Styela clava: one gene and its partner. The protein of the gene in region 1 purifies or fractionates together with the protein of each later gene. This does not show direct contact. Links are inferred from orthologs where the notes say so. Each region holds a gene or a part of one and is shown on either strand. Other genes may lie near its edges. The genes, in order: protein NEDD1-like and gamma-tubulin complex component 6-like.

Region 1 (17,058 bases):
ATTTTTTTTTCAGTATTGGAATAACGTGGAAAATTAGTGGTGGATGTACCCACCTCCGTTCACAATGGTGAAAATATTTTTAATTTGGAAATCGATATGATGCTGCTCAACATATCGCTCTGAAAGCATGCCAAAAATTGTCGAACGAATTTGATTAATGTATAACGAATTTTAAACCGGAAGTCGCATGCGCCCTAGAAGCGCTTCGAGACGCTTGCGCATAAGCTTCGCACACGCCTTCTGCATTTTTATTGTGACTCGTGGACAAAGCATTATGTTGGCCCACGCAAAAAATAGACGCGACACATCAGTGCCAATCAATCTTCTAAATGCTTTATCTGATTGTTATGATTTATGTTAATTTAAAGATTTTTGAACTATTTCTGATGCCTTATTTTCGCTAATGTACATGTTCCTTCATCCTGTTATAATCAAAAATCACTACCGAAATCGTGTTTTATATATTCTATTGTAAACTGTTACCAAAAAATGGAATCCAAACACATAACAAGCATTTTTGACAATTCAATAGAATAGAAGCAGCAGCACTTATAACTGTACCTAATATGACCCACTTCTAACATTATTACTGACTGTATTATGCCTTGTGCAGTAGGAGAATTGTTGATGAAAAGTGCTCCCAAAAAGCACCTTATTTATGTATAGACTGTATATGTATTGGAATTAATCTGCGGCTTAATACAGCAGCGAGATTTAGGCATTCAAGACACCACGCACACGCCCGGAACTCAAAGGCTCATTTGTTAACCATATAGTGACACGTGAGCAGGAAAAGGAAATTATATTCTATTTCCTGAAATTTTTCAAATCTAATCAATTGCGTTCGACAAGACTAAACTTGTTCAAATTTTCCAACCTAATCTATTTTTAACATTGGTAGCAAATGCATAAAGTATGTTACTATTTTGAGATATTACTCTTGGCCTGTTTGTCTTTATACATATTACACTATAACATGTACACTATATGTTGAACGAGCAACAGAATATCCAACATAATAAAACTGATCGGGATTCGAAAATGAACTATTTTAAATTTTTTGATTGCGAATGTTACATCAAGTTTGCTACATACCTTGAAGATATTTTCTTCCTTTAAACCAAAATTTGTATTTGAGTATTTTTTTTCTGCTTTTCTTCAATATGCAATCAATTTTCGGAAATTTTAAATTCCCTAATGTTGACGTGGCCAATAGGTTTGCTTCGATTAAACGGAAATCACAAGATGTACAGAGTATATTTGTCTAACTGCTTCATTAAAGATAAAACAAAAACAGAAGTATTAAAATTCATTACTTTGTCATATTTTTCTTACTCAATAGACTGCTTTTCCTCTCTTAATAAAAAGCGGACGGATCTAATCAAGTATATTACACTATCCCTTTCCTTGTCACCATTATAATAATTCCGGATAGAAAACACCGGCCGAGTTAAATACTTTACTTAGTTAAACAAAAGAGAAAAAGAAAAGGTAGCATAGCCTGGAACCTTTTTCTCTTTTGTACTAAGCGCCATAATGTAATAAGCCCAGTCTGTTTCTGTATGGTGCGTTATCCTACTCACATATCACGTTAATCCCCAGCCCACACTCGCCCGTTGCGACACAACAATTTTTCAACTTTTAATCCACTACACACAGGCCTTACGATGTAAAACGAGATCATAATTTTATGCACCAAAGAGGTGGTAAATAGTATAGCATTGATTTTAAAGCATATAAATTCTTAATCCTTAACCCTCGAGATTTCATAAAATTTATACATGATACTTCCAAATACATGAATGTATATATTGAGTTGTTTGCAAAAAACTAGAAATGAAAATAGAAAAATAGCGACTCACGAGTTTTCTCCATATATTATGGGCAAATGAAATTTCAAAATTTGTCTGATCTTCATCAGTTTTGGAAAAAATAACATACCCGGTCTGTCGTCTAATTTAAAATAGCTCGAAAATATTCATGCCAATGCGGACATTAATTAAAAATAAATGTGTTTGTACCTTCTGGACCCCGTGTTTTTAATTGAGTCCAATCCAATTCAAACTGGACTTTGCGTTTTTCTAGTCAATGATGTAATATTAATCAAAAGCTGAATTGAAGAACTGTGAACATTTGCGGTTATTGAATGTTTATATTTACCCTATTATACGCGTTTTATTTATAGTGATTACATTTTCGGCATGCTGAAAGTTTTGTTGGTATTTAATATAGAAAAACAGATTTATTTCCATATTTTTGTGTGTGGAGTCAGTGATAAACACCTTTTTATGAATTGTGAATCCAACATTCGGCCATCTATTTTGCATTTTACTCAATTTGGAAAACTGCAGGAAGAAATGAAAATTTCCAATTTAATATTGCTATATTTAAAGATTCAGTTGTCGAAATAACTTGTTCGACTAAGTTAAAATATATCATCAGTTATAATCGGTTTGAACGATCGAAAAAGTCGCGTTAGGGAACATTTTTGCAATGAATGCAGTCTTTTTAATAGGAAAATTGTTTTCAGTGGTCCTACGACAATGATACGATAATACGGATACCCGATGCATTCCTATACGCAAGACAATTGGAAATGAGGTAGATAATGCGGTAGTACATCGCGGAAACAACACAAATTTTGTTTTTCAATTGTCATTGTGAATGCAATTAATAACTTATAGGTACTTAGTGGGGAAACAACGTAAAGCTATTGTGTTCCCTACAATTTTGTTTCATCTAGAGATGATGAGATTGCCCCAAGAGTATTTCTCTCTTCTCACACCACGCCTAACTAACTCACTTTGTTGCACAGCTGGCTAGCCTCATGACCAAAACGAGTATTTCAGTCATCAAATAGAACACGTGCTCGCTTACTTTTTCGGTTTCGAAGCCATTTAGAAGCGCGTGTTTGCCTTTGAAACATAAATAGGTACACACCAACAGGGAAAAGTCTTATGATTGCCGCGTACTTAATTTTGCCACGCATATTTGTATTTTCTGAAACAGAAATTTAACAGTAATTTTCCTTTGGAAGCTTTCTAATAAATTACAAGATTCGATAATTGAAAAACATCTACAAATATAATAGTGTATGGGGAATTTTTAGTGAACGAAAAAAACGGTAAAATTTTGAAATATCAATGTTCTATATCATTTTTTATTGAATTAAATTCTGTATCCATAGTATCATTTTTACGTTGTGGTTATTGAAATCATAATTAGTATTGAGATACAAATTCTAATTCTGCTTGGTGTTACAACATTACAGCTGTAAAATACCTCCGACATATCACAACTATTTTATGATCGTAATATTTAATATTGTACTTTAAATTAAGTCTTATTTAAACACAAATTCATATGCAATTTATTTAGTTATCGCCTATGGACAACAAACAGTCTATAATTTGAAATTGATAGATTTAAATTTCTTATTTCATTTCATGAACCTGATTTGCATATTCTGGCGAGCGTTGAACAATCTATCAGAAAATTTAAATATAAAGATAAAAGTGGAGGGATCTAATAAACAGTCCGAACACTTTAAGCTAAATTTGTGGATAAATGACTTTATGACATCTATTTATAAAACAATTACAAAATGAAATAATAATTTAACTGGGAAAAATTAGGAAATCCCGGTCGTTTAAAACGAAACTTCTAGGCAGGCTAGATTGTGTATGAAATACTTCATGAATATACAAGATTTCCCCAACATAGTAAACAAACAATCTGTGCATGAAAAGCGGTCAGGTCTGTAATATAGGATATCCCGTTTTCATAAGCTTTTGAAAACGGAAAATGAAAATCCTGTATTCTCTAATCTTTTCCTTCCTAAATTGCCCACCAATACTGGTACATTTTCATTGCCTTTTTTGTCCGTAAGAAAGACAAAAAGTCTTATTTGTAAACTCAACTATTCTGTGAGCTCATAGGGAAGTCTGCAAATGTCACGACGTGACTATATAGTCATCTTTATAAATCATATCGCGGGTCGTCACCAAATTCGTGTCATAGAATTGAGCTAGTTGTTTTGTACGCTTAGTTCAACCCGAATGATGTAAATAAACTGTAACTCTTCTTAACAAAATACAATAAACAAAAAGTACCCAAATTACTGAAAAATGAAAAAAAATCTGTCCTTTATCACTAGCGCCATTTTGTCGAGCTACGCGGTCTTAGTTGTTTTAGTTATAAATGCGCCAACCGCAGCTCAGCCTGCGTTTTAAGATCACGTGATCTCTGGCAAGGCGCACTGAGCATGCGCATCATGCATGTACTGCACGCGCACATACCATTGCATATTGTGCACGCGAGCTTACTTGCAAGCATACATAATTATAGTACATAGGCATGTAAAGTATTCAACCATGCTGCAAAATTTCCCATCAACCAACCAATGATATTTGATTGAAAGGACAATTGTTACTAAATTTCACAAATGGGTCTCTGAGCGATTTTAAATTATTCACATTTTGGGAAGATGTTGTTTACAATCTGAAATATGGCATTGAACAATGGATGAAATAAGGATGGAATTGATGGAATTTTACGATGAACAAATACAAAAGCTGTGACAGCGTATGTATGCGACACTCAAACTTGTGCTATTGTAGTCAAGTATGAAACTAACTTTTGTCATGCCAGTTTACTTCTGTGAGGGGGTAATTTCAGCGGAATAATGAAACAAAAAATAATAAATCAAAATGCTAAAACTGTTCGCAAAAAATCATAGCAACACGTACGAAAATTTCCGTACATATATTCTCAAGATTCTGTAATATGGTTATATATTTGGTTACATATTTTGCGTCCACAAATTTATTATGTTTTGATACAATGGCATTAAATTACTTTGAATATATCTTAGAATTAATAATTTGATACCTTTATGCTGGTGGTATAAAAATGCAAAATAGATCTCAAAATCTCAACGACTGTTTATCCGAATAAGCGAATTCATAGATAAGATAATGGCAATTAAAATGGTAGAGAATGATTTTTCACAAGCTCGGGTTATGTTTTAATTAAGTCAGATACTTCGCCATTACCATGGAATTATATTTAAAAGTAACTGTTTCCATTTATTACTATAAAATGCGAGTAAATGTGATAAAATTGTGCAAGTACATGAGGGCATGATTCCAGTTTATTCGTAGCATGACACTGTGAGTCGTGACGAAATGAGCAGTATTTATAGCCTGTGTGTGGATAAATAGACGAAGAGTACCTACATTGACTTACATTAATGTAATTTTACTTGGATTGTATTTTCACGCATTGGACAACGCTGCATGGAGTCAAATACGCGTCCTATACGGATTAACGTTAGAATTCCTAAATTGGATAAAATACGATCCATAAACGCAAATTGCAAAGAGAAGCATAGTATCATTGAAACAATCTCAAGAGAAATTTGTTAATTTGTCGATAATATTGTGTTAAAGTCGCCATATCAAACACTCGTGGACAGCAGATTTCTCTAATCTAATCCCTATGTGCCACGGATATCCATAAGGAAACGCTAGCCGGTAACGAGGTTCCGGATTACGAGGAACACCACGGTCCTGTTGTTTGTTGTCTCATTCCATTCCCTTCCGGTTTTTGTTTTCTTTCCCCTTTCTATCAGTTCGCATCATCTAACGGCGCGGTACGGATATATATATATATATATATTTGAACGTATATATGTGATGTATTAACATTTCATGATACCGTTTAAATCCACATGTCGTCAAGCTAATAACCGAATTGCGTAAGTCATTTTTGGCGGTTTTGAGTTTTTTTTTTATAAAATAGGTATTTATGTAATGCTGCGCACCTACCTGTCTGTTAGGAATTCCGAAACCCATAAAAATGGAGATTTTGTATGACATGCACATTTGTGCAATTGTTTCGTCATAATGAATTATCGTTGTTACCGCAGGACTACTGTGACGTCACAAAGGCAAAATAACCTCGCCGAAAAATTTTCTAGTTTTTGCATCTCAGATTCTAGTTTAGCGCTTATAAATCTGAATTTATTCTATAGTATAGGGAGGTATGCACTTGTGATATTCACTGTCCGAGTCCAATTCACCTTGGTTGGCTTTTATATTGGATGCATTGCTGTTTTATTCTTTATTTTTAATCTAAGTCTAATTTCGGTGGGTTTGCAGAGCGTGTTTTATTGATGAAATATATATTTTTAAACATAAAAAAATGTACCTGAAACAGATCAGCAATTTGGGGGATTAGACATCGTAGATACTGGGAATTAAATTCGTTTTTGGATTGTTTGGTTTTCAGGACTGGTGCATATAGTCAAGTTGCAAAATTGCGTATGTCCCCAAGCCATACCCACATTTCTGCCTAAGTCACAGTGCGCCATTATGACGTCACATAACTGCGTCAGACAAATTAAATTAAATCCGGCTACGATCAAAAAATTGAACCATGGCAAATTATGGACTCTCGATGGCACAACAATATTATTAGGAAGTTTTTTACGTTTTTCTCAAAACTGCTAAAAATGACTTACGCAATTCGGTTATTAGCGTGACGATATGATATATATGTGAAAAATAGAAGTTATAATTGATTTGACATTCCACATGCCTGTTATCTGATCTGTGCTGTCAAATAAAGCTAAAAACACCGTCCAATTAATTCGATTTTGTAATTTATAGAAAATTTTATCGAGATATATCCGTTTACACGAGATAGTCGTCCATATTAAAGAGTTTCGTGGGGAATTTTTTCCACCAATACATATCAGGCTTGGGCATATAAATAAAGACTGTAGAATGTCAAAGCTGACTTCAGTTTACAAACAAATTTTTTTTTCTTCAAGATTACACGTTTACGGTTGACAAAACAATAAATCTCTCTCTCTCTCACACATTTATCGATCCGTAGTTGTTTCTGAAATATGACTGACATGAAGTTTTTGCGTTTTTTATAAAAATGAATTTTGTAGTGTCAGCGAAATAACATAACTATTTATAATTAGCACACCACAGGCAATGAAATTTGTATATTGCTTGAATTCATTGAATGCTTTATCACAGTAAATAGTAGTTTTAAAACAATAACAATATTATTGTAGCAGTCTAACATTCCCATGATAATAACAACGTCCAAGTGTGGAGTGTCTAACTTTTTGTCATGAACCATCAACAAAATATTTATTTATCTTGAAGTTTGACATTTAATTGTTCAAAACTATCAATACAATGTAGCTAATTACATACAAAACTGATATATATTGGTGCGGTTTTAAAACAGCACAAACAGCACAGCAGTGTTTCGAAACTAAATGAGACTTAGAACTAATAATTTGATACCTTTATGCTGGTGGCATAAAAATGCAAATTAGATTTTCAACAACTGTTTATCCGATTAAGCAAATTCATAGATATGACATTGACAATTAAAATTGTAAAGAATGATTTTTTACAAGCTCGGGTTATGTCCTAATTCAGCTACTTCGCCATTACCATGAAATTATATTAAAAAGTAACTGTTTTTATTTATTACTATAAAATGCGAGTAAATGTGATAAAATTGTACAAGTACATGAGGGCATGATTCCAATATTAATATTAATATTTTGTTGATGATTCATGAAAAAGAGTTAGACACTCCACACTTGCACGTTGTTATTATCATGGGAATGTTAGAGAGCTACAATAATATTGTTATTGTTCTAAAACTACTATTTACTGTGATAAAGCATTCAATGAATTCAAGCAATATACAAATTTCATTGGAATCATGCCTTCATGTACTTGTACAATTTTATCACATTTACTCGCATTTTATAGTAATATATCAATTGAATTTCCCCGACTTTTATTTTTACTTTCTCTCCCAAATCATATATACTGATTTATATCAACCTTGTTGATTAATTATTGAATGGATAAGTTTATATTTGTGTTTATTCTTTCATTTATTTCAATTTTTAATATTGACTTGTTTTCAATCTTGGTGTCGCAGACTTATGATGACCATTTTTGGTCCTTCGCGACTTCCAGTCAACTGCAATGAAATCCGTTACTGTAACGCATATTTATTTTTTTCCTATTTTGAATTTGTATTGTGTTTTCTTGCACGACGAAATAAACTTATTGTCTATTGCCAGCGATTATGTGACCCATGTCATAGCTCAAAATAAAGACAAATCCCATGAAGCTCACAGGAATATCTGAAATTGATAAAAGTAAAAGCCTTCTACAAATAAAATCCAGCTTTAACTACTAAAAATTTCAAAACAATTGGTCCAGTAATTAAAGAGAATAGCGATTTTTTTAAAACGTGTCAAAGAACAAGAACATCAAGAATAAGAAGAGCAAGAACAACAACAACATAATAGTGAGTCATTTGGTGACTTATTCCTGTGCCATGGCGACAGCTACCGGTCTGGGACATTTGCCGCCATATTCCCGCCTCAGTTGGTGCTTGGTTCACGTCAAATAAAGTGTTATAGTCCCTTCGGTTCGCATAACCGAGATTGTAAAAGTCTGAAAGTTCGTATTTATCCCGGGGTAATGAAAGTCGATAAGACGACTTAATCATATGGCGTACCGGTACCGTACCATGGCTTTTGTCCCGTTATCAGTCCACGTCCGGTAGGCTATGGTAAAGGATTAGTTAGCCAATTATTTGTTTTAGATGCATGAAAAAAATCAGAAGGATCTGACTAGGTTTATAGATACCCTAGTCGGGTACGTACTGGTAACTGGGTAGACTACCGGTAGAGGGGTAAGGCAAGTCAACAAGTTTATACGTCTGTATGAATCTGTGAATTGAATCCAAATTCTGAAATTTGTTATCGAATTCAAAATTTAGGTGTATTATTGGAGAGAAGGAATTTAACACTGTATTATTAACTCGGTCTGTCTCCATGTTGCATGCGCATTAAATATATTTGTATAAATTTTTTAACAAATTTGGCATAAGTTTATAAGTAGGCTAGATATGCAAGTCTTTATTAATTCTTGTTGAGACAGTGAGAATGTGGGAATGACTGAATGATATGTACGGTAACTTATACAGATTTTCTTTAAACGTTGTTGACATTGATCAGTTATTAAATGTTAACGAACTCATGAAAATAAAGCGGCAAAAGTTTGCTTTCATTGTACACATAACTACAAAAATGAGGAATAAAGCATTTACAGTAGTTGATTTTTATGTTATATCAGAATTGAAATTTGTGGAATTTATACATTTAGGCTATATCATGTTTTAAATTTCTATAGCATTGTATAATTAATAATAGTAATATGTCTATATGACTCTCAACCATGTTTAAATGAACCAGGGATGATTTTTCAAAAATTTTAACACATCCAATGGAAAAGATTTGAACATGCAAGATTCAGTCTCAATGTTTGTGTCAGCAAGTGACAGTGTCAAGGTATGGGATGCAGAACATATGAGAACATTAAGGCAGTATAATTGCCATGATTCTTCATCTGGTTCAAACTTTAAAGATGTTGCATGGAATTATGATAATACTGAACTGGCAAGTGTATCCACAACTGGAGGTATTGTCTTGTATGATTGGGCAAGCAGTGGAGGAAATAATAATATAAACTATCGAGAACTCTCTGAAAGCACTGAACAAACTTCTGTTTGTTTTGGACACAGTGGCTCCTCTCTATTTTCTGGTGGCACCACAGGGGATATAAATTTATGGAATTGCAAAACTGGAAAGAGAGTGAAGACTTTCAATGAGTGCCATCAGTCACCAGTCAAACGTATTGATAAAATAGCTGAAGACAAAGTAGTTTCTGCATGTGCTGCAGGGGAAATTATTGTATGGAAAATAGAATCTGGTTCTGTTTGTACAAAATTAAAAGCATCTAAACCTCAGTCTGTACGTGGATTGGAACAGTCACCGTGGGTGACAACTACATTGGGTACAACATCAGACGATGGGGCTGTTCATATCTGGAATACTGAAAAACAAGCGACGAAACATGTATTTACATCTCATGATGCCCCTGCAATGGATTTATCGTTTTCCCCTTTGAATCATTTACTACTCTCATCGTGTGGATTGGACAAAAAGGTTATATTTTATGACATTCAGGGTAATAATGTTGTTAAAACTATAAACAGTAGTCAACCATTGACTGCAGTATGTTTTTTAAGTAATGGTGTCCATGTATGTGCAGGAAGCTCCATGGGGAACATTTATAAATATGATTTAAGGAAAGCCGAAGAACCTTTATACAGTATTCACGCCCACTCAACCTCAATACAAAGGCTTGTTTCACAAACAAGTAAACAAAAATATCTTCGAAAAAGCTCAAGGACATCGAGATCTAGTTCTTCTAAACAGTCTGGGCAGAAAACACAAAAAAAAGATACACAACAAAAGGATGAACTGAAGCCTTCAGCATCAGAAAAATTCAAAAGCAATGCTAAGTCACCACAAGATCACGCAAAGAACAGAAGATCCTGGTCAAACAAAGTTCCTGATATTGAAGTTTCATCCAATGAGATAAAACCGATAAATGGTGATGGTATTATTAGTCCTACCAATAAAATCATACCTGGTAGGAATAGCCAACTTGAAAAAAATATAGGTCTTCAAACTCCTGCAAATCGAAGTGTTGCATCAATTCGAAGAGACACTATGGGCTCGTACTGTGAGGGAATATTCTCTCCTGTTGCTAGTGTGAATGATAGCATACAAGATGATGCAGCATTCACCCCTGCATACCACAGTCAAAACAAACCACAAAGGACAAGCAGGGGGTCTTTGCTTCCAAACTCTGGTTTCATTCATCCTATTACAAGAAACTCTGCTAATCGTTTGCCCTCAGAACAAAATGGGGAAATAAATAAAGCTCATACTCCATTCACTAGAGAAGAGGAGAGCACAGCTCGGGGTAGCATCAGTGGACAGCTGGGCAGAGGCTCACGGAGTGATACAAGGGTAAATCATTCAACTCCTCTTATGAACAGTGCATCAGCGATATCAGTTAATGGCGCAACAGCATCGAATTCCTCTCTCAGTCCAACCAGCGAAAATGCTTCTGGGAAATTCCGACCGCAGAGTGAGGATTCCACTTTAAATGATTTTGTAAATGGTGGTGCAGTCACCGATGCGTCGTCAACACCCCATCAACAACCAGACTATATTCAATCAAATCCTTTTCAATATCAGCTCGATTTTTTACAAAACACTGTACGAGAGATGGTGGAAGAACATGAAGATAACATTCGTGATGAACTAAGACATTTGCATTTGCAATTGATTAAAATGTTTGCGGAACAAAATGAGAGAATAAGGCAACTTGCTGAGCAGTCATCTGTAAATCCTCTCCTATTACAAGAAATTGAAAGATTGCGTATTGAAAATGATAGATTGCGAAGAAAGTATTAAGTATGGGGTACCTTGCTTCTGTTATCGAATTAAATGACAAAACAGCCAGGTGTAAAAAAAGTAATTCGACAATCGACTTGTGCAAGAACCAAACCCAACTATGATTGGAATTGTTTCGCCAAACTAAAAGTGTCTTTCAGAATTCCTTCAGAGTTATACAATTTATCACAAAGTTTTCCTTTTTTTTACAAAGCGTAGTGTCTGTTGTATTCAACATCTGACATATGGCAAATCATTGCACAATGCTGATAAAAAATGTTCTGATTAAATTTTTCGTCATATATATTTATATAAATTATTGGAACATTTGATTGAATTCGAGTTTGAAAAATTTAGCAATGTTATTATACTAAATCGAATTATTCCTCTGGGGGAGTAAATCTGAATTTAAATTTTTTCAATATGTTGCAACAGTTCACATTTGATGAAAGTAAATCAGATGAATGTTCCCAGCTCTGTTAAATTCCATGCTAATGGTTATGGTTAAATAAAATTGTTTTGTGAGGAGTCTACAGACCTTTGTTTATTTAAATAATATTTACTGTTTATACAACTTTCTAACCATTCATAGTTTCTCAATTAACAATGCCCAATTCAAATAACTTTTAATCTATACATTATTTGAGAAGAATGTTAAAGTGCCTTTTGCCTCGGTTTTGTACTAGAATTGTGTCGTGATGCAGCTGGCTGTTCACTCTTGATGCCAAAGTTTTGTTTATATGGTGCCTTGCATATCTCAATGTTGATATTCTGTGCCTTTTGTGAATTGATATCTATAGTAGGCGTAGCGAGATAGTTACAGATATTACTCTTGCATGCTTGCCTAGATTTATTTGTTACCAAATATAACGTTTCAATATAGATAGCAAGTTTTTTAATTCGTAAAAACAAGGTGTATCGAGTGCATTCTAATTATCCTATATGGTTAATTGTAGTAACGTGCCTCTAACTAATGCTCATCTTTATCTGTTTTTTTGCTCTTCCTAATATTGCAGCAAAAGTCAAAACACCTTTATTGAACAGTTGAAGGTTCTTGAACATACAAAAATTGTATTCTGTAATGTTTTGCTAGTCAGTTGATCCAAACTTCTGCCTTGCGAGGATACTTAAATAAAATCTTGTCATTCTCTTCTCTGATCCAGATTATGATATTTTTGCTCAATTCATCAAAAAATCCCCGTTGCTTAAATTAAATTGTAGGATTGTAACTTGTACCAAGTTCAAGTTATTTATTATCTGAAATATCATAGATTGCAAGATGAAGAAACTTCTATAAGTTTGAATAGAAGACTGATGATAAGAATATTTAACAACCAGTTAAAAGAGCAAGAGTTCAAAACTCTCAGCTATGTTGCGCAACCTTATTTATCCCTAAAGCTCTGGGAGGACAAACTAGAAACTATGATCGCCATTAGCTTATCTCAAATAACTGACAGGAGCAGTAGTACTCGATTCTCAAAATCGTCACAGTTGCTTTTTTAATTGCAGAAAGTGTACACATGATAAGCATTAATAAAAAAAAAATGATAGATTACTATCACAGTGATTGCACAAGTGTGTTGATGAAAAATATCAAATTGTCATTGTTCACTATTACTCATATAAGAAACTTATCATTACGAGCATGATTGCTATCACACTTATAATTTCATATCAAACAGGTCCTTCCTTGTATGTTTAGTTCTGTTCACAACAGAGACTGAGTTATGCTCTTGGAGAATTGTAAAGCAATTAGTTTAATATGTAATGTTCGAAGCTAATAGAATTTTTGCTGCTAATTTTTGTTAGGAGCGTACAGCGCCAAAGGGTGAGGCAAGCGTTATTAAGCGAAAACATTAAACAGCAATGGCAAATTCATAACACTTTTCCAGGATTCATTATGCCAAGTGGATCGAAAGCTGTCTTTATAGTTCTCATCACATTTATCCCTTCATCTCCAACCTCTTTCACCAGCAATTTCTTCTTTCCTAGTCCAATTCCATGCTCTCCGGTGCAGGTTCCTCCCATGGATAATGCTTTCCTGGAAATAGGAAGAAAATTGCACTGTCTAATACAATTACAGAATTTTTGCCAGTCAGTATAGTCAACCAATACGTCTTGGTTCTGGCACAATATTCTGGTGAACCATACTGGCAACGACTTTAGCCAGATCATTGAACTATGAAGGCAAGCGATCAGGAGTAAAATCAAGATGCATAGAAACAATGCTCAAATATATGGACACCAAGGCCGTATCTAATATTTTACAGTAGACACCAAAGTCATCACGGCTTCGCCTGACCACCAGAAAGCATCGAGAGCTATAATTTTGATGACGTCATTGCACAGAAAAAACAAATCCCAACGAGGCCACAGAAAATATAAATAAATAAAAAGAATAGCCTTCCAGCAACAACAATAATCTTTAACCACTGAAAATTTCAAGGAATTGGGCAAGCAATTAAAGAGAAAGCGATTTATTCATAACGAGAAAAAGAATTCTAACTGCATCAACAACATATGCCAAAACAATCTATAGGTCCAATTTGTGTCCAATAAAATATAATTCCAAGTTCTAAATGATGCATTTGATTATAACGAATCTGATAATTCATCTTCGTTAAAGCAATTCGAAATAAGTACTATGCTAGTTGGTTTACATCTTCATGTCTAATTATGATTGCTTATTTAAAATACTTACTGTGCAATCTCATTAGTGATTTTTACAACTAACTCTTGTTCTGCTTGTGAATCCGGATCGATGCATATCAAACAATGAAAATTTCCATCTCCTACATGACCAACTATTCCTGCAGTTAGACCACTGCTTGCTATCAATTCGGAGGAAAATATAACTGCTTCAGGGAGGCATGATATTGGTACACAAACATCTGTTGAGTAAGCCTGAATGAGAAACAGATATTCTTAAATATTATCTTGGGCAGATTATTTCAGATGAAAAAATTGTCACTCTCATGTTACTCTTGGAATGATAAATGAAAACAATAATTATGAGACAAATTCTTGATACATCTTAACCTGGTTTACTTTATTTGATACAGTAGTGGGCAACAAACTACCGGTATATATAGTATTGATAAATTCCCTTTCGCAATTCAAAAACTTCGAAGACTCCATAAATGGCCTGTAGTATTTATAGTTGAAATTTTCAGTTGTATAATATCCACCACTTACATTACTCCAAATATAGACAATTCAATAGATTTAAAAAAAATGTTTAGTTTAAGCGATGCTATTTATAAAAAAATAATTAATGATTGAATTATAATGGAATCTTGGTTTTGAAAAGAAGTAAGTTTTATAAACATGGGGGAAAATGTGAAAACACAATATCGAAGATCAACTTGTCCATAATATCTCGAAAGATAAATTCCATACCTTACATCCTGGTACTAATGCAATCATTGCATACAAAATATCATGTCGAGCTTTCCATAATTTATTTCTTTCTTCCTGACTTTCAGCCCAACTGAAGTTTGAGCCTTTATTTGCTTTAACGATGTCAGCTTACAAAAAAATAATGTTATTATAAGGTATTTGTTAAGTCACAATGAATTTCAAGCTCTTGCACCATACACAGCATTTTGAAATATTTATGCCCAGTCAGAAAATGTAGCTTCATAACGGAAAAGTCTGAACACTAAAATCAATCGGGTAGTTCCTAACTGACATCAATGAATACCAGTAGAAAAACGAACTAGTATATCTATATATTGGCTTACCATATATATGAAACAAAAAACCGGGACAGTGCAGATTGGACAAACCTTGGTTCAATTCCCAGGCTTAGTAATATTCAAATCATTAGAAAGCGTGCCATTTCTTTTCAGTATTTTGAATAATTTAACGACAGTACAGCTAACGTTAGATGTTAAATTGAGATATTGAAAATATATTAATTATGACATAACAATATAGTAATTCTTTCTCTCCCACTGAACTAGTCAAAAATCAGTGATGAATGGACTGCCTCCATTAACAAAAAAAGCATTCTGTATTGATATTGAGTAAAAAAAAATATTTATGATTGCCATACTACATGACCGAGACATTAAGGTCTACTAGGCAGGATGCTATCCATATATATCAATAACTACAGTAGCATGCACATACCTGTCATATCAACTTGCTCACGAGCGCCTTTTTCAGTGCCATGAAACTCAAGAAAAAGTGATGGCTTCACTGGATATGATAAATGACTAAATTTATTGCATGCTTTGATCATATTCGTATCGAGAAATTCTATAAAGAAAAATACATAACTAATCAACATAAAATCAAAATTTGTATTATAATTTTAATCAGGCACAAATATGAAGAAATAACTTCTCAGGATGCAATGAGTGAAGAATAAACCAGGTTCAACCTGTTTCAGAAAGCACACATCTGCGAGCGAGTGAGTGGTCGGAAGCTTCGAGTAAACTTGCCAAAATTACTTAATAATCAATCTACAGAAATCCTATCTAGTTTTATTTTAAAGTCATAAAAAACAAATAGGGCCAAGGAGGTATAAATAGAAAAATAATAAATTTTAATAAATCTTTAGCAGATATTCAGATACCTATCCTTGCAATTGGTATTCCACATTGGATGACGTTTGTTGAACAAAGAACTGCATCCTCTACAGATTCAAATGCACATACAGCTGATAGAATCTAAAAGCAAATGCAGATGGAACTCAATCAGCTCTAACCGTATTATAAGATTATTAGCACAAGTCTATTGCAATTCTTTCTCATGGTCTTTTTTAAGCACAGTTCATTTTTTCCGAATCATCTTAAATAACAAATAAATATCCTAGTTTTGGTTGATTTTTTTCCGACAAAAATATCAGACTAAATCATTTTTTATAATCATCCCTTACATATGGGAACAATATTTTATTGTTTGTATATTTGATCCATGATCGAACAATGCTGTGCAAATAAATTGCTTTTGAAAATATCTGTGGCAACTTTTCAAGCGTTCATTGTAAACTATATAGTTTTCTATATAACCAGTAAACAATGGGGGCTAAACCAATCATAAAGGTAATTCTCACAGAATCAGGTACAGGATGTAATCTCAGTGTTGCTGAAGTTATAAAACCCAGTGTTCCCTCTGATCCAACAAAAAGATTTGTCAGATTGTATCCAGCTGCACTTTTTCTGAAAATGTATATGTGGTGCATACCAATCTTCATTTTAATTTTTTAAAAAATCACTGAATTCAAGACAAAACAATTACTTGAATCTTCTTCTCTCACCAGCAGTATGAATAATTTTCCCATCAGGTAAAACAACTTGTAAATTTAGTATATTTTCTTTCATTGTTCCATATCTGAAGTATGAAAGTGGTGTATTATTTGTCGATTAATATCTTTTCATGGGTACCTGAACACATTCCCTCTACTAGGCAGTAGGCACTATTATGGAAAAGTTTCTATTTTCAAAAGACCAGATCTTTCTAATTCTGCCTAGGCTACCTAATTTATTGCACCGTGGCCAGTGAGACTGCGATACCAATATAGTTATGCCTAATGGGGACATCTTGTCCATCTTAAGGCTATTTATCCTATTATGTTATATTCATTTCATATATTAACATACCTCACAGCATTAGTGCCTGATGCACTGGTTGCAGCCATCCCACATAGAGAAGCATCTGCCCCTGGATCCACTGGAAACCACATT
Region 2 (16,717 bases), on another chromosome or scaffold:
GTATGTGCAAGAGTATTGCTGGACTCCACGTCGCCGTAGGGTGGTTTACGTAACCGCCGGTCAGTTAAGTATTCCTCCATCATCAAGTCCATGCATCTGAAACAAACAACTGCCTAACTAACCCCATACCCGACATGAACTGGTAACCAGACGATGAGTCATAGTTCGCTTTCCTCTCTCCCGGGATGAACACAAAATATATTTTAATCTTTGAAAACTGGAAGTGACATTGAATCCTAAATTGGACAGTGGTATATTCCCAAGGGTTTCAATTTCAGATGTCCTAGACGCTGATTCGTTTTGACCAAACTGATAACTTGTGGAGATATCTTACCTTGATTGCCTATTTAGCCTGAATTGTCATAATCCATTACCACTAATAGGTAATCAGGACTTGAATCACATACCAGCATCCAGAGTATGATAAAAGCACTGTTTATTATAACTATGATAAACCAAATAATATTGAAGAAATTTATTATTTCATTGATTGATCAACTCACAAGCCAAGTGTCTCCCATGTCCGATGATTACTTTTCTTTACTTTCAAGCAATCTTTCCAAACATTCAAGTCATAAGTTGGGACTCTGGAAAAAAAAAATTTTTTTTTTACAGTGTTAATGCTATGAGTGACATAACCTAGTCGTAAAAATTCGAACAAGTCAAACTGGGAAAATTCACTGTTCAATACAAGAGAAATTTATTAAACTAGCTAAAATGACTTCTGACATCTTTTTCATCTGAGTGACTGCTTATGCAGACCCCTGTTTTGAGAAGTTCTAAAATCTATATAAAAATGTAAATCACCTGTAGCCATGATAAGGAACAATAGGAGTAGATATTCCGCTGTCAGATTTGTGAGGTGAAAACGATGCTGGATCTTGTTCTAAATCTGAGAAATCAATACTTGATGTTGGTGACACAAATCCTTCGTCTACTGAAGTCATCTGATAATGCACAAAATATATTGTATGTTATGAAATATTCGCCAAAAGCAAGTTTTACATCTGATAAGTTTTTAGCAAAGTTTTGAATTTAATCAGAAAATAGGTGCAAGATAAATCAGGCAGTGTGCTAATCTTGGCTAAGTAACTTGGATTTTTTACCCAATTTTTTTTACATATTTTTATCTTCCATTTTTGTACAAAAATAAACATAATTTACAAAGTTTAGATGATCTACTTGAAAATCGTAAAAAAACAAGTGTAAAGGTACAAGCTACGGCTAGACTGACGGCTACTAAATTGAAAAATACTAATTTTTTGTAACAATCGAATGTTTCAATTGGCATAATGTACAGATATGGAATCATATAATCAATATGAAAGTCAAAGCAGAGAGTCACTGAAAAATCATATTTTTTCTCATTCATTCATTGTTCACGCCGAGTGTGAATAGGAGAATATCGGTCAGAGACCGAAGACTTATCGATCGAAAGTTAGGGGACCCCCAAAACAGCGCTCTTACTCCATAGTGACACCTTGTGTCACTAATCAATTAATAATTCGCTAATTATACTACATAAATCATCCAAAATCAATAGGCTTCTGGTCCGACATATGATGAATGCACATGCAAAATCTGGAGCAGATTCAATATCGCGTGCATCTAACAGACAGACAGACGTACAGAAAGACAGACAAATACCTATCAACATACTTACCGATTAAAATCGATAAGTAATAACCTAAAAAGCTGGAGCACAAGTACAAATCAAGGCATCTGCCATTTGTAACAGTGTCAAATAAATTATGGCAATATTTCAAAATATTAAACCTAAACGTTAGCTGACTGAATTAGAGCAAAATATATTAGGAAAGCATATATTCAAAAAAATTATTTTTGAAAAAAAAAGGATTCAATAAAATCAGTTACATACCGAGGTAGGAAGGGAGGCCATCATATCAATAGGACCCGTGATTGGTGGATATGATAATTTAACATCCAAATCAAAAGTACGACTGTGTCGAAGACCTCCATATAATCGTGTCTGACTGTCAAACTCATATGCTGAATCCGTTAAACCTGAATAGAATTAAATAACGAACATTGAATAAGTAGACAAACTTAATTATGTAAATCTACAAGAATTATCTGGGGATGGATATGTTTAAATTTCACAATGAATGTTTCCCCAATCCTTGGCCCCAGAAATATACTCTCTATACTTTACTATTGTGAAATATTTTTTATATTTATTGTGAAAGTGTTTTGGAGAGTTTGCATGTCTGAAACCATCATTTTTTATCGAAAACTTTCAACCACATTCCTCTTACAGGTACTGATAGCATATTTCAATCCAGTCTATCGCAGCTAATTCGGGACTAATTTTATATTATTGCAACTAAAGCTCCTAGGTAGACATGATGACAGTTAAATTATTTGATTTCAACTATTTTATGGAAACACAACTGAAAACTGACAAATACCACGTAAAACTGCTTGAATATCTTGAGTGAAAGAAGTGAGCGTCTGCGTAAATTGCCATTGTCATGTCATCATTGACTAATTGCTGATTGGTTATTGTTACGGAATTGGTTACGAAAACTACTAAGCAGCAGAAAAACATCACAATATGCTTGATTAAATACCTTTATCAGAGAAAACTTTAGAGTCTAGTCCATACAATCCATTGGGGTTCTTGTTTCCTATAAACGAGTATTAAAATAGATACATTACAACATTACAACAACAACACAGAGTTTCTCAATGTTGGCCCTCGGTTCCCTAGGGTGCTACATAGTGGTTCTATGGGGGCTATTAGCAAATAGATACCATTCGTGACAGCTAACTTAATTTAAAGTACAGAAAATTGAATGTGATTTGCAGAAATCTAAAATACATTTATATCTAACTTTCATTTCCAATTGTTTTTATTATTAAACGTCGCACAAAGATTATATATTAAAATGCATTGAAAGTGCCGTGCCGTAATTCAAAGTAGGCTACAATAAATTGGCAATGATTTGTGGAAATCTTTGTCTGAAATGCATTTTTTTATTACTTTCATTTGTAAAGATTTTTAATATTAAACGCTGCACGAAGATAATATATGGAAATGCACTAAAAGCAAATCGGGTATTTTATTATAACAGCAGGAGACCACAAGCGAATCTTTAGAAAGGAGGGGGGGGGGGGTGAGGGCAGGGGTCACAAATAAGGAAGTTTGAGAAGACTGAACCGAGTATTTTATCTATCCTAACCTAGAACTTAGCATAAATCCTGTTTGGAATACGAACTTGAATCATTTGGCCCAGATTCAAAACTGACCATATACCAGAACGATGATACAATTCTTGGACAACATTTTTAGATAACGGTTGATTTCAAGTTGAATTTCAATAAAACAATATAGAAAGAAGCATACTACCAAATTTTGTTTTAACCCACCTAATTTGTCAGGAAGAAAATATTCTTTTGCATAAAACATATCTTGATCGGTATTCTGACTCCTCTCAGGATATAATAATGGTTGATCGATATTAATATTTGTGGAATACCAACTGAAAAAAGAACTCAATGTTAAATCAGATAACAATTTAAAACACGAGGACAATCCATAATAAATGTATGGACACATAGGTCAAATGATTAATATGATCACTGCAATGTCACAAAATTGAATTTAAACATAAACAAATTCGTACCGAATTGTCAGTGAAATAATAGCGAACTGTTAAAATAAGTTGTATCAAATGTAATATAAGGGTGTGCCCTATATTATTCAAAATAAAATTCGAATGTCCATTAATTGTGGGTGTCCAACAAAAACCACGGTACCAACAACAACAATTTAGCAAAACAATCTATAAATTTAGTCTTGGTAAATAATCTTTCAAATTTTCGAGTGGAATAAAAAGATTCCTTACTCTGGATAAAGTGTGTATGACTGTTGAAATAAATGGTATGGATAATCTCCATGATATAAAGATCCTTTTAATTTTCCAAATTTTTTAATTTCCTCTCGCGTTGGTGCTTTTCTTCTCTTCTTTATATCACAGTGTTTATTCGGAGAATTTCTTGTATCAGCGAGACTTAGAAGAAATCTGATAGAGCTTCTGTGTTCATTTGCTTCAGCTAAAATGTAATATTAGTGTTTTAAAACAATCAATAGAACAGTGGTTCCCAATACTTTATGGCTCGTCGCCTCCTTCTGAAGGCTTTTACCACTCATGTCCCCCTGTTTATCATTCCAGTGGTATTTAGAGTGTTATTTTGATTGGTAGATTTCAAATCCCATCATGTTTAAACAATTCATGCTCTTTAAAGTCCAAAGACCTTGTGAAATGACCTCATTTAGTGATGAAACTAGAAACGGGAAGTTTTATTGTCAAGAGGAGGGTAAATTCAGTTTTGTGCCCAGCATTGTGGCCCCCCCCTCAAACTATTCATGGCCCCCTTTGGGGAGACAAGGGCCCCTGGTTGGGAACCGATGCTCTACAAACTAACTCAATAATGGCCAGACATTGATGGTGAATTTTATCCATGTGTATTCTAAATTTATCCCAAACTCTAGTAGATTTTATAACTTATTTTTACAACTTTGCCTCAAAAAAGCCTAAGTACAGGTAGCTACTTGGATGTAGGGGTACCAACTTAGTAGCAACAAACGTGTCAGAATAGTCTTCTATATTTACCAGCCAATAATTTGTCAGTATGTTCCTCTAATCTGTCTGCATCATGATGCCTTCTTTGATTCATTCTCATTCTAAATGCTACAGCACTCACAATACTTTCTTCATTCCATTGATCAGATGATAAAAGATCTTCAGTGAAAGTCATGACGTCTTTCTTTCTCCTATAACGAAAATATCAAACATATAAATTTTGGGATCAGACTGTATGCTCCCAAGCTTGATTATATAGTATGTCATCATTTGTTTTTCCACTTATATTGCAATTTTTTTGTTTCAGTGACGGGGTTCAAAATGAATTATTTTTATCTATTCATTAGTAGTTGATAGAGAAGCGAAGAATACTAGTCATATACAAGAGGTTAATAGTAAACAGAATTTTCTGAACTGGCACACAAAGACTTTATAGTTGTTCAGGCAACATTTAACCCCTGATTTCATCAAAGGTCAGATACAGCAAACAAAGGATTAGAAAATGGATTATATTTGATGCATATTGGGACTAATGAAGCTTGTTACAAATAAATACTTTATAATCAAATTGATAAACCAGGAACCCACGGAATAAGCAAGCTATTCGAAGGGCCAATCTTTGCACCAAAAATAATTACCTGACAAAAAGTGCATCATACGCAGCCTTTTTCATTGGCTTCAGAAGCTTGCTGAGTGGAACTTTTGGTTTGCAATACTTTGCTTCTCTTGAAACATTTCTCTCCAAGTGAATTGTACACAAGCGTTCAATACTTTGTGTCAGACTCCGCTGGTCTGTTTTTGTATCTCTTACTTTGTGTGACATGATTTTAGTAACAATTACCAGGATTGTAAATTAATATTGTGTTGCAAGACATTATTTATAATCACCAACGATCGTCGATAGATATAATATATCATCTACAGAATGCAATAAAATTTTAGAAACTATTAATTTATTAAGTATGTCACATCCATTGCAATAAATGATGACATATTGGACAGCGGTGAAGATTACAAATAGGAAGGAACCTTCTTTGCAAACATACCGACCCAAGTTCTTATGAAGATCGTCCTAACCAGTTTAACATTGTCCACAATAATAAAGAGAAATCTCTACTATAGGCAAGGTCGTAATCCCTCACCTAAAAGCAAATATGATAGGTAGTTGGAAAGCTCCCACAAGCACTATTAACAATCACATCAATCCACTGCTGCTGCACATTTGTTTGTATCTATCTTTCTAATATTCTGACAGATGCTCATTTATCGCTCCATCCACCCTGTTTGCGAAGTCATTTAATAACATGTTCATTTTGGCCTCCACTTAACACACTTATTTGTTGATATTATTATGGAATTGAGAGATTAGTCAGATGCCGAGGTATCAGAAAAATCGCAAGTAAAAAGCCTGTCAATTTGTAAACTATGTGGGCCTGGATGGAGGTAGGTTCGGCCAATTCCTTTCAGAGTCATAAACCCTGCCATCTAACCAATCATTCAGAGTAGTGTTGTACAAAAAGAACGTTGAAGCTCTGTTGACCTAAAGTTGGAAAAGCGCTCAAAAAGTCTGAATATGGATTAACATTAAACCATAATTGAAACAAACAAATTCTAATAGGAGTGGGACAAAAGCAAGCTATTAAATGCATATTTTTGTTTATTCTCAAATATAAAAGTTTACAAGATAAGTCGTAATTTTCTAAATTATTATCGATGTGATAAATGCAATCCACTGGAAAAGTTAATGTCAATGCGAATGGGAAACTCTCAGTTTATACAAAAAGTGAAATGCTATTCATTTTTTAGTCATATTATACATGTATTATCAATTGTGCAAAAATGCAAAACTTTTAATTAAGCAATATAATAACAATAACAGGACGACTATTCATGTAAAATAATCATACATGCCTCAAAGCTGATTTATATTTCAATACTATTCCCACATTGGAACACAATAAAAATACACATTACAAAGCCACTAGCTTATATTTTAATTTCTTTATCCAGATTATACATACAGACAGACACATTGTGCTAATAAAAACGATGAAAAATTATGAAGGTAGAAAATCACGAAATCAAAGATGTATGTATCACATTGAATTGATAAAGATTGTACAATGCATAGAATAATGAATTCAACAAAATCCAGGATTTTTTTAGAAAAATCTAATATTAGCGAAATAGGTGATACCAAATAAAACTTTTTCTAATCAAGATAACTCTTGAAAATATAAACTATATTTGACTATTTTTTTTTTACTTTAATGATACTTTATCATTAATTTGTTCTTGTTGCTGAAACAATTTATAAATATGAATCTGTAAGTAAAGAAGACATCGGAAGTACAGTCACCTAACATAACATATTCAAAGACTTAGATCATATAAATCTCTTTCGAACACATAAGCAGGCTCTGCGGTCCTGTCTGCAGGTTCATATTCAACGAGTATGCACACCAACACTATATGAAAGCAATACACAGTTAAACTACTGAAAAACTGATAGAAGCAATAGAAAAAACTAATGAAATCATCCAAAAACATTTGAAAATTCATCATAATTTTTCTTATTTTACCATGACCATGCTCTCACATACAGTGATAATTGCTGTACTGTGTTCTAGCAAAGACTGCTATTGGTGAAGAAATAATATATTTCATTTATCTGTGCACACCACACCCAGCTAATATGAAAAAGCATTTGGTGATTATAAAAGGTATTCACAGCATTGATCGAAAAGGGAAAATATTGGTGAAACTAGATATCATGCTTGAGAAAAATAATGTCAAATTCCATGTGATGTTTACCAAAGTAAATATTTATGAAAAAAACATTACTAACAATATTACTTTCTGATGAATCTGTTGAAAAAGAGACGAGAGAACTCAAATGGGTATTGGACACAAAATGAAGGGGACCTATGGACTGTTTTGCTAAATTGTTGTTGATGCTGTTGGCTTGCTTGTCGCTGTTGTTAAGAAAAAATTACTTTTTTACTCTCAAGATGGGAGAAATGCCTTTATTTTTTTTCGAATTTCTTCGGAGTCCTATTAGACCTGATTTTGCTGTTTTATTTGAATTTATGGGAACACTTTTTACATCATAAGGAAACACTTTATTCCTCCACACTTTTCCTGTAGATATCGATTTACTAAGTAAGAATTTTAAAAGTAGATGATATTTTCACTTAGGGTGTAGTTTTTTTTTATTTCTTGTCATTGAGCTTCCCAACTGATACAGGATCAATTAGAACTTTCAGTGGTAGATAAGACTATCTTAACGGATACATTATAAAAAATAATTTCTGATTTTGTACCGTATTATTAAATACTGAATTGAGTCATTCCGCTATTAATGGAATTACAGTGGTGCAACTGACACATTGAATCTCACATATGATTTGAAATTATTACTTCTATTATTCATTCCCAATTTAAGAAGGCAAAAATTAATCAATTAATTAAGATGTTAAAATTACTGGAGCGTTTATGAAAACAGTGAAACAGTTTAATAGTTTCAATTGTAGTGCTTCCTGGCCAGGGCAAAGTCAAATAATTAATTAACACAGAATAATTAGGTGATTACAATTACTTGGCTATTCATCAAAAACAGTGGGACAATTTAATAGATGAGCTTGAGTGTGCTTGTGGTGCTTTATGGCAGAGAAAAAGTAACCAATTAATTAACCCGGTTCAATTAGATAATTATAATTATTATAACTTTTCATAATAAAAAGAGATAATTTTATAAAGGAGCTTCAGTGCGCTTGTGGCACTTTCTGACCAGACAAAAATTAAGTAATTATAAATACATTGGCTGTTCATGATACAATGAGACAACATAGTAATTAGAATTGATTGACTGATGATAAGCAGCCAAATGTTTTCATACCAACACTCAAGTTCTTTCTGAAAAAAAATATTAATTCTTGAAGGTAAGTCTAATGAGTGACATAAGTCTAATGAGTGAAAAATACTTTCGCTTGTTCTGATATCACTATTCAGTAATAATTTTGAAAACATTACATCGAATATAAAAGAAGTATATATGTAATTAACTAGAAAAATAAATATCCGTTGAAAACAATCAATTATTCATATGACAATGCAAAAATAGACAAAAAGCCTGTAAATACGTGCTGTTTAATAATAGCTGTATATAATCAAATACACCTAGTTAAAGTAACAATTCAATGCAATATTAAATAAAATATGAATAATAAAAACAGCGTTATCGATACAAACATAAATTAACAACATTACTAGTGATTACAGTGCAATTACTACTGCACATCTTCCTTCAGTGAAAAAATTAATTTTTGTGCAAGGAAACTAGAACAATAAAAAGTGGATTGTCTCCCTAGCTGCAAAAATTAAAACAATGGCTTCTTATTTGACAATTTCTACTTAATTATTACAGAAAAACAATCTAGATGTAGTTGTCAGATGTATGTCAAAATTTTAAAAATCAGGTGAGACAAAATATAATGTAAAATCGTATTTGGTTTATCAATTTTTACAGTTACTGTAATCTTTAGAAATGAAATATTTATGTTATGGTATGAAAGGCGGATAAATATTTTTTGTGCAAATAAATTACCGATAATGGTTTTAATATAGCGAATTCAAAATTTCAATTTTTAGGTAGGTTTGGGCTCTGAACTGGATACTACGATATTTTAGATGGTTTGCCAGTCTTTTTTTGGAGCCAGAAGTTGGCGTAAAAATCTTCAAACAACCCAGATGATATTTCCCAAAATTGAATTGATAAAAAGTGTAAATGTTTCGTGACCAAAATTTTTTACACAGTGGGTGGGGTGTTGAGCATGGTATTTCAACCTCCTATGCGTAACCCACAATGCCAAAACAGTCTTACAGTCTCGAAACATCAATGGCTGTGAAGCTGGAGCCTCAGTCTGAGTTCACTGCGGCTCCAAATCGTGAACCATAGAATGAAAATAATATTTAACATTTCAACTTAATTCAAATAATGTCGATCACAAATCATTTTATGAAAGAATATAAACAACGAGATAATCTAAGCACACCGTTTGTGTATAAAACTCAAAATAATAAAAATAATGTAAAATCGCAAAATAAAATTTCCGATCGAATAAAGAAAATGCTATAGTTTCTTTATAGTTGATACGAATTGAAAAAATAAAAAAAAAACATAAAAACACTCAAGTACAACTCTTAAATATTAGCCTATTGTTAATGTTGAATATTATTAACTTTGTCTTCAGCATGTAAACAACAAATTCATACGAAAAAAAAACAGTTTACAATCTCTTTTTAAGAAATAAGTAAAATCACCACTATTTCACAGTAATATATTATTATAAGTTTTTTTTCAACCGAATATGAACTTGAATCAGTGGGTCTTAAGCATGAGAAATTTCCCATCCAGAGGAAACCGGAAGTGGTCATCAAATTTTCTTTTCAATAACAGATACAGTGCTCAAATCCGCGTTCATTCCGCATATTTTCAATGTGTCTTTTGAATAATATATACTTCCACCTTACTATCTGTTATTTATAGTTTATTATTAGTTGGTTATTTTTGAGGGTGGGGTGCGAGAATTGACAAATTCTAAAAAGAGGGGGCGGCGTAAAGAGTTTGAAAACCACTGCCGAGATGAGTAGTGTTGTTCTCCGGCATAAACTTCTTCATGTACCACCGAAAGTAGGGGGGTTAAATGTATTATTAATAAATGATATTGCACATACGGATGATACAAATACCGCTAATCGTATTAGAACTTTCATAACCTCATCTTTTGGTGAACCAAGTGCGTGTTTTGTTAAAATACCAGTGATTAGATTGATTTCATGTGCGATGCATACAAAAATAAATGATGTAATGACAAGATTTAATGTCGGCCACTCCGGTGATATGAGAACGAGCATTCCTTTTGTGTCGGCTGCTAACCAAATGTGATATTGTCCGATAAAAAGCTGAAAAATATTAATTTGGAAATGGGTTATGATACTGGAAACTAAAGTATTTGCAGTGAATTACATTTCTATTCTGTGAAAAATATAATTCTCCATAATTATTTCGACAAGCAGATTTTTAATCCAGCCAAATATAGATAGAACTATGATATCCTGTGTAAGGGGAATACAATAAGCTGACACCATGGTTAGTTAATTTGTTGGTTAGGTAAAGTATATCAGTATTTTTCAAAAACTTATTCAAAATAAAATATGCTCTTGTATAATAAAACTTAGTTTTGCTTCAAATATGTTTACATCAGTTATTTCAGATCCCGTAGGTGGGCTAAGAGCCCCGCTTTTTTATAATCCCTGAACTAAAACATCCCCATTTTTTACTGCAAACTTTACAAAATATGTGTACTAATCCTACCTCCAATGATATTTTGCCGAACCAAGCAAAAAATGCACTGTATCCACTTCTTAGATAACCAGGTACATTTCTAATGATGATGAAAGCAGTTATCTGAAAACAAGAAGTCTATAAGTGAACTATAAGAGCAACTATGGATGAATATATTATTTGAATTGGTATAGTTATGCCAAATTCAAATGGGTCTAATCTAGACCCAGGTCCCAGATCTATTGCTCCGGATAGATATTAATAGGATAAAAATTCGCATTCCTTTAGTAGTTGGGTGGACATTAATTGATTATTCAAGCCATATAAATTCTCAACCATTTTTGAATATCTGAGTGTAAATTTTATGCAAATTATGCAATAAATTATGCAAACTATAAAAGCAACTTAGAATGCATGAGGGATTTAAATTGGCATGCCGATTTAAATTCGAAGTGGGTTCATGCTAGACCCAGATCTATTGCTCAGGTATCAATAGCATAAAAATTTGAATTCCTTCAGTAGTTAGAGGAATTATTTGATTATTCAAGCTATAAAAATTCTTAACATTTTTCGATCTTCCAAGTGTGAATTTAATGCAAATTATACAATAAATACAAAAAAGCAGTTCATCAATGACAAAAATAATTCAAAATCTTCATTATTAACAACTTTCAAATTTATGAATGCCAGCTGTATTTTCGCATACAAATCAATACATGAACTAACATACAAAATTTCCACTCATTTAATGTAAAAAAATTTAAATTTCATTATTTACAACTTTCAAATTTATGAATACCAGTTAGGGCTGAGCGTTTGGAAACACTGTTTCGAAACAGTGATATGTCGAAACGGCAGCGTTTCCACCTTCGAAACGGATATTATGACGTCATAGCAAATGCAATCTGAAATTAGTTAAGGTATCATTCAGGGATGTCCAATTCGAATTTATTATCCAATTTTATTCGAATATCGTGACTCTCAAATATCGTTTTTAGTGTTTATAAGAATATTAAATATCGCCCAAACGTCCTAGCGCCGCCGTCCACGTTTTGATTGAAAATTTTTACAATCATTTCATTTTATGTTCTATCGTATTCGAAGACACTCTTTGCGAGGCGCAATAAATTACTGCCGACATAAAAGGATTTAAGTCAGCGCCGACTTGAAGTACTTGTAACACGTCGAGGAAGTTTTTAATTGAAAAAATTTTACAATTAGTATGGTATATTTAAACATAGTCGAGATAGTCTGGGTAACAGCGCAATAAATCTGAAATCAAATCAAATTTAGCTCAACGATGTCGATGTCACGCTGACGATAAACAGTCAGAGTCATAATGAAAATTAGCCGTATCAAAAATCCGAGTTAATATTGATTTTACTGTATAATTTGAACATTCCACCTAGTTGTTCCTTTTTCTGTGCTTGCCAAGATACACCACAAATCATAAATACTGTAATGTTTACCAAGTCTATTTCCTTAGAGCAAAAAAATACCTAATTTAAATCGATAAAAGCCCAATTCCTATGTTCCTGGAGTTTAGAAGGTATTCGGAATTCGGAAGATTCAAAAATATCTTTTTCCAGAATGTATTTGAAATAGTCAGGTACTCGGTTATGGCTCTCCCTGGTATAATTACCACACTGGATCACAAGGATTTGTGGCATCGGATAAAGTAGAAAATGACCCCACCCATTACATTAGATGAGGGCAGGGCCGCATTGAGACTTCGAGAGGCCCCATGCTATGCTGCTTGTGAGCCCCATCTCTAACAATGACGTAATTCGTATTATCCTGGTGCCATTTGGCCTCTGCTTTGTCATTGAGCAGAAACATTCGTGGAATTATCATTTTCGTTTTATCCTCTCGAATTAGCATCCAGTGCTATCCTTTTGTGGATTTAATTGTGGAAAATATATGTCATTATACATTAAATTCAATGGGTAATAATGGTATCATATTTTACTGTTTATGACAAACGTGTGTTTCGATTCGATTTCGTTTCGAAGGAAAAATTTCGTTTCGATTTCGAAACACCAGCGTTTCGAAAATGCCCAGCCCTAATACCAGTTGTGTTTTCCCATACAGATCAATCCATAAACTAAAATAAAAAATTTCCACTTGTTCAAGTAGGTACTTACAGGCAATATTGATGCATAGGAATGGATTCTGTTGCATGTAAACTTATCAGTACATTGTGCTGCCCAAACTGTATAAGTCTGAAATACAAAGGCATGAAATCAATCCTAAATTACAAAATTCTATTATCTAATTGTACATGCTCAAATGAAACTAACAACTGATGAGAGATAATACATATTTAGGTTTAATATAGCTTTACAACCAAATCACTAAAAAAAAAATTCATTATTAGATGAAAATATTTTATACCGGTAGATATTTATTTTAAGAGAATTTGCTATTTGCTAAGAGCAAGGATACACGCACTCACTCGGAGGTAAAGGAGACAGATCTTTCGAGCAAATTTATGGGAGATCACTGAAATTCCAAGCAACTGACCAATTATGATTTGTGATAATGCATTACACATTAAATGCCATTGCAGTGGGACTTGAAGCAATTTGAGTTAATATACTGGAGAAAGCATCTATGGCAGGGGTCGGCAACCTTTTGTCGTTCGCGGGTCAAAATTAAAGGTTGCAAGTCATTGGCGGGCCGCACATGTTTTTAGAAATTTGAAAAATCGAATAGATGACCGATGAATCACATTTTATCACACAGATCAGAAGTTAAATTTTAAGCATCGCGCGAAGACTGACAATTTGAATATTTTTTGCGCCATTAATAAACCATTTGCACTTGGCATCAACTTTTTTGCATTTTGTTGCCATTTGTTTAAATTATAGGCTCATTAAACAAGTAATTGGGAATTACATACTTGTTAGGTTATAATATAATTTATTCTGCATGTAAATTCTCTTGCCTAAAAAATATAATTGACAAAACAGCTATAATTTATTACTATAATTCAGTGAAGAGTCACGGCCCGGATTATATTGCCCCGCGGGCCGTAGGTTTCCGACCTCTGATCTATGGGGTAATATATTCCACATTACTGAAAATTTCGGCAAAAAAATTCTTTGTTAGTAAGGTACTTTAAAAAGAAATAACGAATATGCAAAAATTAGTCAAAACAAATACTAATTTCAAGTTTGAACGTTAGCAATATTGCCCCAAAAAACTGTGTGCAAAACCCAATTAAAGGATGAAAACTTACGACAACTATTCCGATTGATAAAGTCATTGTGATGAAAGATGCTTTAGTTGACAACAAACATCCTTGCTTCGAATCATCCAACACAGACAATCTGGAAAATGAATAAAGTCATAATTGAATTGATTTAATTCAAATTATTTAGGACAACAGGAAGCCAAACTAAATGACTGGGTAGCCAATAAAGCGCTTTCATAACGTGAAAATTAATTACATCACATGATGGGTATTTATATCTTCATATGGGAAATGAGGAAATTTTTATATAGTATTATATTTGACATGATAATGTTAGCAATGTAATACAGAAATATTTGCTTTGCAAAACAGGACTTCAAAAAAATTAGAATTTCCTTAGTATAAGCTAAAATAGTTCATAGCCTACAATTATAGATACTGATAATAGAATTATTTTTAAATTAAAAAATCTTGTAAGTTGTTTGTAAGGATTTTCGACATGAGCTTATTTAAAAACAAAATGTCGACATATACGTGCGTAACTAAAACTGCATAACTGATAGCAATGAAAAAAAAATTATCATTTTCATGAATTTTCTTTTGCAACCATTTGCTGTGATGAGTGTGTACTGTGTATTACGATTTGTGGGGCCGGCTCATATATGCTAATTTATATAAATTCACCGTTAATAGCCGTTTCCATAGGGTCAGCTTATATGCAATACACAGAGTAACAATTATTCGCATATTTTCCTATATTAGTATTTTAAATATATCAAAATAGGGACTACATAATTTGAAATTGAGACATTACTTACTTTTTCATAATGATATAAATAAAGCAGAGAACAGCTCCATGAAGCATTGCATATCTGTCCAACTGACACCTAAACCACCACTCTCGTACTGATCCTGTTGGAAGCTCAAACAAACGTATAGCAGGCCACCAGGAGAAGATCGCCTCAAAGTAACTCTAAAAATATTGTTGTTGAAAATAATATATTGCTAAGTAAGGTAGCTTAAGTAATAGTAACTACTGGTTTTTATAACAAACTGTACTTAACAAGAGACCAATGCTCGGATATCTATACACAAAGGTTACAAAACAGTATCAGTACAGTGAGTTTGCCTAAATGATTGGTAGACAAGCAATATGAAGGTGGTCACCCAATAGAAAATAAAAGTCTTCCCTTTTGAATAAAATAAAATAGCAAAATTTTAGTGAAATATATGGCTTTATAAAATAACAGCCTTGTAGCGACTTCTTCCATATCTGAGTATTAAATATTTGGAATTGACTGGTTCATTAGTTTCAAAGAAAAGCGATTTTTATCGATAATTTAGCAATAAGATCTGAAAGACTAGCGGTTTGATAAATGGAGAACCTACACCCACCATTAGGTTTAAATATCATAACAGGATATTTTCTGTTGCAATATTCCATAGAGAATAATTTCAATAAAATTCTCAGGTTACAATATGAGTTGTAAGTAGTCAATCCAAACCAATTTCTAAAAGTTTACAGAAAGCAAAATTCTCTTGTTAAAAAGTAATTGCATAAGAGTCACAGCTTAAAAGTAGATTTATCTGATTAGAAAATACTATTTCTTGGCAAAAAAGAAATAATTGAACAAACCTGAGACACGAAAAGAACACTTATGACAAGAAACAGCATCACTAGTTTGAAAAACATGATGGAGTATGGTGATCTCAAGTTGAAATTTCGCAATGGATAATCTTTTTCTGGTCCATTAGATGAAGGTTCTGCTAAAAAAATTATAATTTGTAATATTAAATTGATAAGAATTGCGCCTACATTTTTGAGGATTTCCATTAAACCATTAAAAACCTGGACAAGGAGCCACCAATATTTAGGAATGAGTAAAGAGTTACTTTTTTGGAAAGACCGGAATCATCACCTACCTAAATCATTAAACACTGAGTAAAGTGGTACATATTGGACATGACATCGAGATATGCACCCTACAAAGCCAATGCAGTTATTAAGTATAAGCTTTAAACACTACACCATCATGCTCATAAATATCTGAATATATCCAGACAAAGTTGGTTGAAATCTGATACTATAGAATGAAAAGAACAATACATATTTCTCAAATTCTTCACTGAAAACTAGAAGAAGTAGAACTCATAAATGTGAAACAGAATTGCTCTGTGTTCAATATTGGCCATAGATGCATGGTATCGATGGAAAACAAAATAGATAATCCGTTATTCTAAAATAATATTTCCGAATATGGAATATCATATCACTGTAATTTCCTAACGATCACTTTCTATGATAAAAAGGTTAATACGGTGTTGATTCGTTTTTTAGTTGTGTGAAGTAAATAAGCCAAATTGGTCTGAACATAAATATAAACTGTGTACAATCTTCAAATTAATAAATTCTATATTATTCTTATTTAAGATGTAAGTTATTGTCACTTAATTCAGGTTTTCACATTTGTAGCATCATAAATTATTATATTTCGCATTAACAAAAAATAATCCTATTTAATAAGATATGTATAATAGTCTGTTCAATTAAATGGCATCCACATCCCA

Evidence for each region.
Region 2: the proteins of protein NEDD1-like (region 1) and gamma-tubulin complex component 6-like purify together in Homo sapiens (affinity purification with mass spectrometry; 3 studies listed by BioGRID and IntAct, with this or other methods). This does not show direct contact. The link is inferred for Styela clava from reciprocal best matches to the Homo sapiens genes NEDD1 and TUBGCP6.

Annotation. Positions count from the first base shown.
Region 1 is NC_135253.1:16,885,207-16,902,264, reverse strand, and holds protein NEDD1-like, read left to right. Parts: upstream 1-9,210; 5' UTR 9,211-9,358; coding exon 9,359-11,386; 3' UTR 11,387-12,515; downstream 12,516-17,058. Other genes in the region: putative D-lactate dehydrogenase, mitochondrial, read right to left, coding at 13,241-13,406, 14,067-14,269, 14,765-14,892, 15,500-15,628, 15,948-16,041, 16,428-16,533, 16,613-16,705, 16,975-17,058. UniProt on the Homo sapiens protein: Required for mitosis progression. Promotes the nucleation of microtubules from the spindle.
Region 2 is NC_135256.1:13,677,514-13,694,230, forward strand, and holds the start of gamma-tubulin complex component 6-like, read right to left. Parts: upstream 6,023-16,717; 5' UTR 5,431-6,022; coding exon 5,246-5,430; intron 4,799-5,245; coding exon 4,638-4,798; intron 4,078-4,637; coding exon 3,870-4,077; intron 3,504-3,869; coding exon 3,391-3,503; intron 2,649-3,390; coding exon 2,592-2,648; intron 2,026-2,591; coding exon 1,880-2,025; intron 948-1,879; coding exon 808-947; intron 588-807; coding exon 504-587; intron 1-503. Other genes in the region: N-acetylneuraminate (7)9-O-acetyltransferase-like, read right to left, coding at 10,284-10,571, 10,984-11,076, 13,098-13,175, 14,195-14,285, 14,968-15,122, 15,786-15,916. UniProt on the Homo sapiens protein: Component of the gamma-tubulin ring complex (gTuRC) which mediates microtubule nucleation.